Arabidopsis thaliana: one gene and its partners. The protein of the gene in region 1 interacts with the protein of each later gene in a pairwise test. Each region holds a gene or a part of one and is shown on either strand. Other genes may lie near its edges. The genes, in order: SOM, AGL49 and AT2G17600.

Region 1 (4,296 bases):
TTTATCACAACCACGTGATTAACCTTATCAGAAACTGAGAAAAGTATGTAAGATCTCTTTCTGAATCGAGAAGAAGAAAGAAAACAAATTACAAGTTGTGTTATGTGTATATTACATCTAGATAGTTATTTTTGAGAACTATGAAGATATTAATGTATTTGTAACTATTATAGAAATTTGTGGTACATGTTTTTGCATTTTTCAGTAAACATATATATATTTATTGTTTACTATTTGTATATATAAGTAATCATATCACTAAATACAAAATGAGAAGCTTTGGATTGTGTGGAACCATAATTTAAGTAAGGACATAACCAAAAATTAGATACAAAATGAGATACCAGTCCCAAAACATTGAACTTGCCAAAACCGAAACATAATGTCATGTAACAAAACCAGTGTTCTATTTGCCGTCGAAACAATATTAGTTAATTTCTCGTTTATACTTTAAATGTAAATTACCGCTTTCATCTGTATATCTGTTTTTGTCGTGGTTCTTCTATCCGATTCCAAATGAAAACACACAATTTCGGAACTTAATTTTATTCTTCAAAATTTTGGCATAAAAGTTAGAAATTGGTATTTTAAATAATTAATTTATGGAGTTGAAGACTTGTGAAGGTAGAAACCAAAAATGTATTTGCTTCCATCAGAGCCACGCAACAATGGAAAAAGTGACACTTGTACATACACATGCACCCGATTTTTAGATACATTAATAGATAGACTGAAAATTATAAAAGTAATTAAATATCATTTGTTTCCGCTGATAAATGGCGTACAAAATAAAAAAACGTATTTTTTTTATACGTGTTTTGTATTTAATCTCGTGCATATCCTTTCTGTGTTGTAAAGTCTTCTTAGATTCGTTGTATACAAGATCTTCTATAAGTTCGTGTATAATTTATTCAGACAAATTATGCGATTGTATTATTGTATCAAGAAATTAATTAAACTAGGTCTTTTATAAATAGGTTGTACGAGTTCTTTTTATTATAGTCATTAATATTTCTTAATTTTAAGTTAAAATTAATTAAAGTGTTCTACAGTTTAGTTGTGGTTAAATTATTTATATGGAAGATCTTTACATAATTAAAGTGTTCTACAGTTTAAGTTTGAAGAACGTCTTTCTTTACATATAAACTTTTCGAAGTTGTGAAACTATGTTCTTAGGAAAACAAGCTAAGAATATTATATTTGAATTTCGTTATATTTGTTATTTCGTCGCTTTTATGATCTTGAAACGTGATTGAACCTATAGTCCGAGGGGATGAACCAAATTTAATGTTTCTAAATCTACCAGTTAATTGTTTTCTTACCAATTTACTCATTTAATTTAGATGATATATTGATCGATTTTCTGTCATACTGATACTTATTCGGTTATGTACTACGTTATTTTACATAGCAGTTACGTATCCAAGAGAGTAAAAATTAATGATTTTAAGTTTTTGTTAAAATATTTTCTTCTAAGAGATAAAATTAAGTAAAAGAAGAAAAATATGAACACTTAACTTAAAATCCAAAAATACAAATTAATATATGAAAAAATAAGTAAAACTGCTTTAAATAATAATCCTAAGTAAGGAAAAATAATACTTCAAATGCTGATCGCTTTAACAAACAAGAATACTTATCAAACAGTAACATAATCATATATATGGGGTGGTTACTTATTTTTGGTATCAAAGTCACAAAGTACTTGCCTACTTGGTAACAAACTAGAAGACAAATTCATACATTATAATTAATTTGTTATAAAGTTAGTTGTTTTATCCTTATACTTTCAAGTATAATTCTAACAAAAAAACAAATTAGAAAGTAAATGGATGTTGATAAGGGAGAGAGAAAGAGAGGATGATGCTGATGAAAACATAGGCACATGTGTTAGGTCTGAAGCAAGGAGAGAAAGGCAGCTCCTGCTTCTTTTGCATGAAACCTCTCTAAAACTCTTCTCTTATCTCGCCACGAACCCTCTCCCCATACCCTTCACACGACTCCTTCCACTTTTTAATCTCTTGTCTTCTTATTACATCTCATCAAAATTCTATTTAATGATAATAATCCAAAGCTAACAATATTTAAATATACGTTTTAACTTATTCTCATGTCTATATCTATACTCAATCCACATATATATAAACCACAATATCCCATCTTTCATCTTACACAAATCCCTCAAAACCAAAACACATCACAAACAAAAAAAACAAGTTAGATATTATATCATCATGGATGTCGTTTGTACGGAACATCAAATGAGGAAGCCAACGGTGGAGATTCCTCCGAGAAAGCTTCTTTTATCTTCCAAGAGTTTTCCTTCTGATTCTTCTTCCCCTCGCTCGCCGCGTAAACATAACTGGAACAAAAGCAACAAGATTACATCTGAACATGAAGAAGACAACGAAGACAACAACAGAGAGAATAAAGAGTACTGTTATGATTCTGACTCTGATGATCCTTACGCAAGTGATCATTTCCGGATGTTCGAATTCAAGATCCGTCGTTGCACTCGTAGCCGAAGCCACGATTGGACTGATTGTCCTTTTGCTCATCCCGGTGAGAAAGCTCGCCGTCGTGACCCTCGTCGCTTTCAATACTCCGGTGAGGTTTGTCCCGAGTTTCGTCGTGGTGGTGATTGTAGCCGTGGAGATGATTGTGAGTTTGCTCATGGAGTCTTCGAGTGTTGGCTCCATCCTATTCGTTACCGTACTGAAGCTTGTAAAGACGGTAAACACTGTAAAAGGAAAGTCTGTTTCTTTGCTCATTCGCCACGTCAGCTTAGGGTTCTTCCTCCGGAGAACGTTTCCGGTGTCTCAGCGTCGCCTTCTCCTGCGGCGAAGAATCCATGTTGCTTGTTTTGTAGCAGCTCTCCCACGAGCACTCTTTTGGGTAATTTGTCTCATCTTTCTCGATCTCCGTCTCTGTCTCCACCTATGTCTCCGGCTAATAAAGCCGCTGCTTTTTCACGGTTGAGGAACCGCGCCGCTTCTGCCGTTTCCGCCGCTGCAGCCGCTGGTTCAATGAACTATAAAGACGTTTTGAGCGAGCTTGTGAATTCTTTGGATTCCATGAGCTTAGCGGAAGCGCTGCAGGCGAGTTCCTCGTCGCCCGTTACAACTCCGGTTTCCGCTGCGGCTGCCGCGTTTGCGTCGTCCTGCGGTCTGAGCAATCAGCGTCTCCATCTCCAGCAACAACAACCAAGTAGCCCTTTGCAATTTGCTCTTTCGCCTTCCACTCCAAGTTACCTAACTAACTCACCTCAGGCGAACTTCTTCAGTGATGATTTCACTCCTCGCCGGAGACAGATGAACGATTTCACGGCGATGACGGCCGTTAGGGAGAATACTAACATTGAGGATGGTTCTTGTGGTGACCCTGATCTAGGATGGGTCAATGATCTCTTGACTTGAGGGATTGACGGTGGAGATTCGCCGGGAGGAGATCTGACTTGAGAATGTAAATTTCGGTGGAAGAATTTTAATCACATTCATGAATCATGGGAGAATAATCGGTTCGTAACGGTTTGGTCAATGCATGGAGAGATTGTTTGTTCAAATTTATTTTGAAGATTTTTTTTTTTAGCTAATTCAGAAGTGTCTTGTGTATTGTCGTTTATTTTTTAGAATTTTCTTTTTCTGATGGGATTTTTACCAAATAATATGTTGAACTTGTAATATCTTGTGGACTCGGATTGTGCAATGTTTCACCAATTCTATAGATATTTTTCCCTTTTCATGTATACTTTGTTAAATCTTTAATAGATCAATTTGAACATTACAACCTCACAATTGAATATTGATATGTATATTGATCTTCTTTTTTGTTTTCGTCTTCGTCTGTTTTCATCATTGTGATATGTATATTGATTAACTGATGGTTTTTGTTTTATAGTTAATTTGTATTAAGCTTTTAAACGTATAAAATATCACTGGACGATTGATCACATTGCGTTTTCGGTTTACGCTATTAAGTTTTATAAATGATATTAAGATATGCGTTTCTTGAAAATAAATGTTTCATCTCATCGTATACCCTGAAACGTGTTATGTTTATGATTTAATTTTATGAATGTACCTATGCACAATTCTCGAATTATTCATCCCCCTCACCCTGAAATGTGTTATGTTTTGGTTATGCTGGTGCCTGGTAGACGAGAATACAGTTGTGTTAGTACCGTCTCCCTAAAGTTATATGTCACATCCTTTTTTGTATATAAAAAGGTGCGACAAGTTCTCCAATTGTTCTTCTTTGGACACCACACGAAAGCTAGTAGCTTTCATATGAGGCATG
Region 2 (3,274 bases), about 21 Mb from region 1:
GGAGAACATGTGCCAATTTTTATCTCAAATTTTTTAAAACTTGTGGTAGTGGCCAAATCAGTGGCAATCAAATAAATAGCATATAGAGTAATAATTATATTGCATCGCAAGCCTTGTAGAATTGAAGTTTTGGGGATTTGATTCATGGATATGCTTATGAATTTGATCGTGAACAAAGCTTATATGTAGTTTCATGGGTACTTTATTTTGTGTTTACGTCACAAGTTGATCAGTTGAGTTACTCCACTGAAGTTCGTTCTAATTATGAGAATGCTGATTAGGAATGTTGACTTGGTAAACACGAGGTCGAGGGACAGAAAGACTTGCTGAAGCAAACACTAGATTGACATAAAGAACGTGTCATCCGTCATTAAAAACAAGGCATCTCCAAGACTTGACAGTGAATTAACATCTGAACAAGTATGTATAACTTTCATTCCCTGCTCTAGAAGCTTTAACGAGTTGTGCAATTTAGGTTATGAACTCTTTGTTTCTTGCATGGTTTACAACGTTTTGTTTATCTGATAAGTTGGTGTTGCAGTCAAAATAGGGTTACAGAGAAAGAATAACAGAAAGAAAGGAAAAGTTTGATTAATCAATAATAAACAAGAAAAAAAACTACCAACTTTACAAACATGGATTTGTGTTGGAGCAAACATACAAGTTAAGAGATACTAAAAAATGATCAATCACCGAGAAAAGGTGAAAGAAACATGATTTCACTAACGTAGTCATCAAGTTATCAAATTGAAATCATATCGGAGCTCATCGTTTGGCAAGTATTGGTGGTCATGAGAGGATCGCTAAATGTATGAAGTGGTGGTAGTCTTGAGGCAAACTCCAGATCCCAAACATGATCATCACAAAAATTCCCTAGATTGTAAGTTTGGTAAAGTTCTGCCGCCGCCTCCTGAAGATAATTACCGCCGAAAGTGCCAAGATGATCCATTCCCGTGTAAGCTGCATCTTTTGATTCGTAATTGGAAACATTCTCGTTCAAATTCCTTGACCCGCGGACCACGTAAGCCAACTCGTCAAATACATCACACGAACCCAGCTTCTTATCTGAAACCCTAATTAGATGATCTTCTGACAATATATCCGTCAAATTAGGCTCTATCTTCAACTTGTGATCGGAGATGGCCGAGTTCTCTGAAACCCTTGCACCATCTTTTTCGGAAGAACCCGTGAGCGTCTTCTTAAGAATTTCTATCTTTTGTTCCCTGACTCCAAGTAATTGAGAGTCAAGGTGAAGGAGATGCTTCCTTAACTCCTCACGAGACAAACCCTTGAGATGATGAGGGAAGTCATTGAGATCACATGCATGATTCTTCCTCCTCTCATCACTCAAGGCATTGAACTTGGCCACGATCTCATGTAGGGCTTGTGGGTTATGATCTTGAGACTGAGGCCAAACATGGAGATCGTTGTCGGGACCGTAACAGATGAAACCGACAGAGTTGCCGCAGAGAACAGAGAGCTCTGAGGCTTTCTTCTTAAAGCCTGGAAATCTCTGTTTGAAAAAGCTCTGTTTCTTCCTATGCAAATCACCATCATCATCATCGGACTTGTTAGGTTTCTTCTGACGAGGAGCCATCTTTTGAAAGAGAGAGAGAAGATGAAACTTTGATTAAATCGTGAGAGAGAGATAAAAAGCAGAGAACTTTCGATCGTAATGGGAAGTGCAACGAGAAGGCTATGATGATTCTTTAATATATAGAGACTTAGAAGATTAGGTTTCCTCAATCCCACAACGGTCATAATTTGGTGAAAATGCGTAAAAAATCATATCTAATATGCGCGTCCGAAATCTTGTGAGGTCTTTTCATTAGATCTCGTAGTGATATTTTCCTTTTTTTGCTTCATCCTATTTTATTTAGTTTTTATGAAACGCGTAACTGTATTTTTCCTCAATTAATTGCCAACAAATATTTTATAAATCGACGCAGTCTTCTTAAGTGGTTTTGTCAATTTTATTATTTGGCTTAAGTCAATTATTTTTATTTACCTACATATTTGCTTTAAAAAGTAATAACATTTACACATGGTCTCAATAATTGGATTTGCCCAAAAAAAAAAGGTCTCAATAATTGGACAACACAAAGCAGAACATAAACACAACTGGTCATATACGTTAAACCTTAATTAACTCACAACTCATGTAATTGGTAAAAACCTGAGAGACGATTGATTTTCCCAATTTTTCAATAAGAACACTGCTTTCAGAGATAAGATCCCACAAACCGTCCAACATACTCTTCAAACCCTAGGAATTCTAGAATCGAAATTAAGTTGGATTGATAGAGAAATAGGGTAATTCGAGTCCAACGCCTTCGAAATCAAGAATTCCTCTTACCTAATTTCTCCTTCAATACAACTTATAATTTGGCAACTAATTGAGTGCATAATTACCCTCCAAATGCTTAGAGATAATTTTGTTAGTTATTCTAAGTTAATGACTAAACAAATGTGTCTTTTTAAGAAAAGTTCGTAGAAAAGCTTTTTGGTTAGTCTGTTTCGGGTTTGAATTCATGTCTTCAACCAAACTCTCCACAACTGGTTTGTGTCTGATTCAGCATTCACCTCGGTTTTGGATTTTATTCATTTTTTTTGCAGATGCGGTGGGTGCTGCAAAAAGATGTAGCTAATTGGATGTTAAACAATTTTGACTGTTTTAGTAGCTATATATCAAAAACATTAACCACAATTTGTTTTCATGGTCATTTATGGTTTTTTTTCTATTTGAACTGTTTTTATTGTAGTTTGATTATATCGAATGAGTTTTGGTTGGGTTCAGTGTTTGTGAAAATTCTCTTGGAACTGATATAAATTACTAAATTAGATCAACCGGATCATTCCCGTTTATAGTGAGACGAATGCCAAAGATGGACCTTCAAGTAGTTTCATATAAGTAACAACTATTTACTATTTAGTCCTCATTTGAGGTTGCATATATGATTGCATCGTGAGTTTTATTTGGATAAAAAGTAAAACTTATATTTTTTTCGTTTTATTTTAACTCATAATTTACTTTTAATTTTGATAGACTTTGATACATTCCTCTCATACAAAAAAACGTTACAAGACTTTATATATATATTTGTTTTGCTTCACACACATATGTTTTTTTTTATATATAATTTCTTCGATTTACTTACCCTTAATTTATGTTTAACATAACACAACTAAACACATTAGGCGAACAACCATTTCTGAATTAAACTTGATCAAAATCACCATTCGCGAGCAAAAGTGGAGTTGTCTGTTCATCTGA
Region 3 (4,074 bases), on another chromosome or scaffold:
TACGGCGGCCATCTGAAGACTTTAAGAACACTATCGTAAAAGCAAATAAATATTGCTGTTTTGTGGATGCATCATGGATATCTCCTACTGATTGTGCAGGCATTGGATGGATCCTCTATGATAGGAAAGCTCAATTTGTTCTGCGAGGAATGTCGTCTATACCCCCAACCAGCACACCGCTTGAAGCAGAAGCTGAAGCCCTTAAACTAGCAATGATTCATCTACAGAGGCTTGGTTATGAAGACATTATCTTTCATGGTGATGTTGCAGCTCTGTTTCAGCCAATAACCAGAACCACACATTCGTGTGAGTATTCACCGATAGCAACATTTCTCCGGGACATCGAAAATATTGCCGCAGATACAAATCGATTGGTTTTTCAAAAATCCCACGTGTCCTTAATTTTAAAGCTGATCGATTAGCAAAAACAGCTAGAGTACAAAACTCTGTCTTTGTAATATCTTGGAACGCTGTTTGATGTATCTCTTTTCATAATATAATGAAAAGTTGACGACAAAAAAAAAAAAATATTATTTATTTCTTTTCACTTTATGAAATTCAGTAATTATATAATTAATTGATAAATATTATCTATTTTATAGATACATGACATATTACATATATTAGACAAAACATATGAATTTGTGAAGAAACTAACCGAAATGGTGAATGTGTGATTAATGGAGAGGGCAAAATTGTTTGTTTTTTTTTGTCTCAGCAAAAGTGGCAAATTTAAAATACCAAAATCAAAATGGCAATTCTACAAAGATTATTAAAAAAAAATGGCTTTCTCATAATTGATTCAAATAAATTTTATTGTTTGCTTTGTTCAAAAGAAATGGACTAAACTAGCTAAATTGGCCGTTCCTCGTTCAGATATAGTCCATCAGCTAGGCAAAGTAATATGGACGACAAGGATGAGCGATAACAACGGCCATCACATTTTATTGTTTGTTTCTGTGTTACTAATGACGAGCTTTAATAATTAAAAGTAATGCTTCTCCTGTTGTAATTTATTTGTACTCTAAAGGTTTTGAGCACAGATTAAATCATCAAAATCTCATTTAGTTTATTTGTTTACATAAAACATCATTAATTACAACTAATTCAACCAATTAAAAAACCATATTGTAAAATAAAATTGGTCAAAAATTATTAAATACATTTAATTTTTGCATAGAAGATAATTTGTTGTTGTTTTTTGCAACAAAGGTTTTTTGGTTAAACTACAAATAATTAAAACAAAGGGAGTATTTATTTTGTTGTTGTTTGTGAAGTGATATATTTATATTAACGACTTTTCACCAAATCAGCTAGGATGAAACAAATATGAATTCTTTGTTGAAATTTCTATGAAATAATATATGATCAACTAATACATAACAAACATAAATTTTGTAAGCCCAGCCCACTCTATTAAAAGTCAATGGTAAGTGAAGGGGGCCAAACCACCCTACCCTGGCCTTGCTCACACCCTGTAACTCTTACGTATCTACGTATTCTTCTTTTAATTAATAAACAGTGGAATTAATTAATTTTGTTGGCCAAAAGAAATTCTTGTTAATTCGTTGTCACAGATGATATCAGTCTGGAGAGACAGATCATGTAATGAAGTTGTATTAAATTTAATCTCGTGTCATTTTTAATAGTATAATTTGCACTTCACATAATTTGTATATTGGGTCTACATTATTTAGTCGTAATCATATAAGTTGTGTCCACATTAGTCAAGTCATCTCCACACGATGGAAGTAATCATATTTTAGATAAACAGATTGGATCCTAACCAAAACTTTGAAAAAGAAAATGGCTGCTAATGAAGAAGAGCCAATATGTCGTTTGTCTCATCCAACTCACTCTCACACCCTCTCCCGTAGAGCCGGAAGAATCCCTCCATCGGGTTGCTTCGCATGCGACAAAGAAGAACCCTCACCATGTTCTACCTTCCATTACTCCTGCACCACTTGTGATGTGGAGTTCCACGATATTTGTCACGTGTATCCGAGGAAGCTCACACACCCTTATCACCTTCAACATCCTCTCACCCTCACCACTCAAAACACTGAAATAGAGATCATATCTAAAAACCCCGAATATGGTTACATATTCAAAAATTGTAATTGGTGTGGAGATGATTTGAGAGATGGATCTCAATTCTATCATTGTTCTATTTGTAACTTTTGTTTAGATCTCTCTTGCTCCCAAAACTTTCCAACTCTTACAATTACAAATCCAAAAAGCCACCATCATTCCCTCTTTTTATTTCCTTGGCCCCTCTTAATTCCATGTGAAGCTTGTGAGCTGGTTAGTTTGTTGGAACCAAGTTATACTTGTTTCCAATGCAACTATTTGGTTCATGAGAGTTGTATCAACTTACCGCGTGTCATAAAAATAACGCGTCACCCACATCGTCTCTCTCACACTCCTTTCCTTCCACCTACAACTCCATCTTGTCGAGTTTGCTACAAGACAGTCGACATCAAATATGGCCAGTATTCTTGCGATCATGAAGGTTGCTCTTATGTTGCCCATTCCAAATGTGCAACACATATGCACGTTTGGGACGGAAGAGAACTCGAATGGGAACCAGAAGAACTCGATGAAACTGAAGATATTGTGCCATTTAAGAAAGTGGGTGATAATATGATCAAGTATTTTTGTCATGAACATCACCTTAAGCTTGAGAAGTATGATAGTGTCCGAGACGCAAAGAAACAATGTCAAGCGTGCATCCTTCGTATCGACTCTTATGATTTCTACAACTGTGTGCAATGTGACTTCTTTCTTCACGAGGTATGTGCTGGTCTTCCTCGAAAATTGGCTCATGCATTGCATAAGCATCCTCTTGTTCTAGACCCTTCTCCTATACTCGATTACAGTTCCACAAGTTGTTCAACTTGCGCCCGTGAGTCCACTGGTTTCAGGTACAAATGTTCAAAAACTGATTGCGATGATGAGATAACAATTCAGATAGATTTTCGATGCATTTTAGTTCCTGATTGTTTCACCCACAAAAGTCATGAACATCCTTTATTCATCTCCACATCATATTCTAGAAAAGGAAACATTTCTTGTGATGGTTGCAAAGATAGTGTTCGTGATGAGTATTATCTGCAATGTACTATTTGCTCATTTGCTATGTGTTATCGATGTGCGACCATTCCATATGAGTTATACTACAAATATGATGCACATCTTCTGTCGCTTTGCTATGGAGAAGATGCAGAGAAAGCATATTGGTGTGAAGTATGCGAGAAAGAATTGAATCCAAGAGAATGGTTCTACTCATGCAACAAATGTTGTATCACTATCCACCTTGAGTGTATATTCGGATCTTCCGTTTATATTAAGTCAGGTTACACATTCTATTTCGGCTCTGCATCGATGAAAATTCTTGGGAACAATAGTCATACTCGACCGATTTGTTATAAGTGTGATCATCGTTGCCCGGATTCGGTGTACTACAAGTTGTTTGAGAAGGTTTTTTGTTCCTGGCTTTGTGTTTGGACATCTGACATTGAAAGTTTTGACAATGTCGAAAAGGAATAAGCCTTATATAGTTTTTGGGACCGTGAAGAGTTCTTTTGTAATAGATTCAACATTTATTATCTAAGTGTTTGAGTTTACATAAGGCAACAATGTAACCTAAGTTAATAAAGCCGAAAATTTTGGTTAGTGTTAAATGGACCATGAATATTACAAACTTAATACTGTAAGTAGGAATATTACTTCGTGTCTTTCATCTCAAATATATTATTATTTTTCCTTTTGGATGGCTTCGACTTTTCAGACATGGTCCGCTCCATATGTACGGTCCAGCAGAAAAAAATCAATTCATGCACAATTACATAAACTAAAATAGCCTAGCCGAAATCTTGACAAAAAAAAAAAGATAGCCTAGCCGAAACATAAACAAGAAACAAAGCCCAAAGTCTACATAGAGCCGAATGGTATAAAATTATTGGGTGACATATGATGCGTTGGATTATTTACGTATTGAAACTAAATAATCAAAAAACACTAATAATAAACTCAGGTTAATTGCTGTCATATAGGTTATCATAGTCTCTCAAG

Evidence for each region.
Region 2: the proteins of SOM (region 1) and AGL49 interact in a two-hybrid assay, tested with the Arabidopsis thaliana proteins (one large-scale study listed by BioGRID).
Region 3: the proteins of SOM (region 1) and AT2G17600 interact in a two-hybrid assay, tested with the Arabidopsis thaliana proteins (one large-scale study listed by BioGRID).

Annotation. Positions count from the first base shown.
Region 1 is NC_003070.9:952,355-956,650, forward strand, and holds SOM (Zinc finger C-x8-C-x5-C-x3-H type family protein), read left to right. Parts: upstream 1-1,935; 5' UTR 1,936-2,234; coding exon 2,235-3,416; 3' UTR 3,417-3,790; downstream 3,791-4,296. UniProt on the Arabidopsis thaliana protein: Probable transcription repressor that functions as a negative regulator of phytochrome-mediated promotion of seed germination. Inhibits seed germination by regulating the expression of gibberellic acid (GA) and abscisic acid (ABA) metabolic genes.
Region 2 is NC_003070.9:22,118,333-22,121,606, forward strand, and holds AGL49 (AGAMOUS-like 49), read right to left. Parts: upstream 1,598-3,274; coding exon 743-1,597; 3' UTR 642-742; downstream 1-641. Other genes in the region: UMAMIT35 (Nodulin MtN21 /EamA-like transporter family protein), read right to left, coding at 3,218-3,274. UniProt on the Arabidopsis thaliana protein: Probable transcription factor that may function in the maintenance of the proper function of the central cell in pollen tube attraction.
Region 3 is NC_003071.7:7,653,952-7,658,025, reverse strand, and holds AT2G17600 (Cysteine/Histidine-rich C1 domain family protein), read left to right. Parts: upstream 1-1,806; coding exon 1,807-3,549; downstream 3,550-4,074.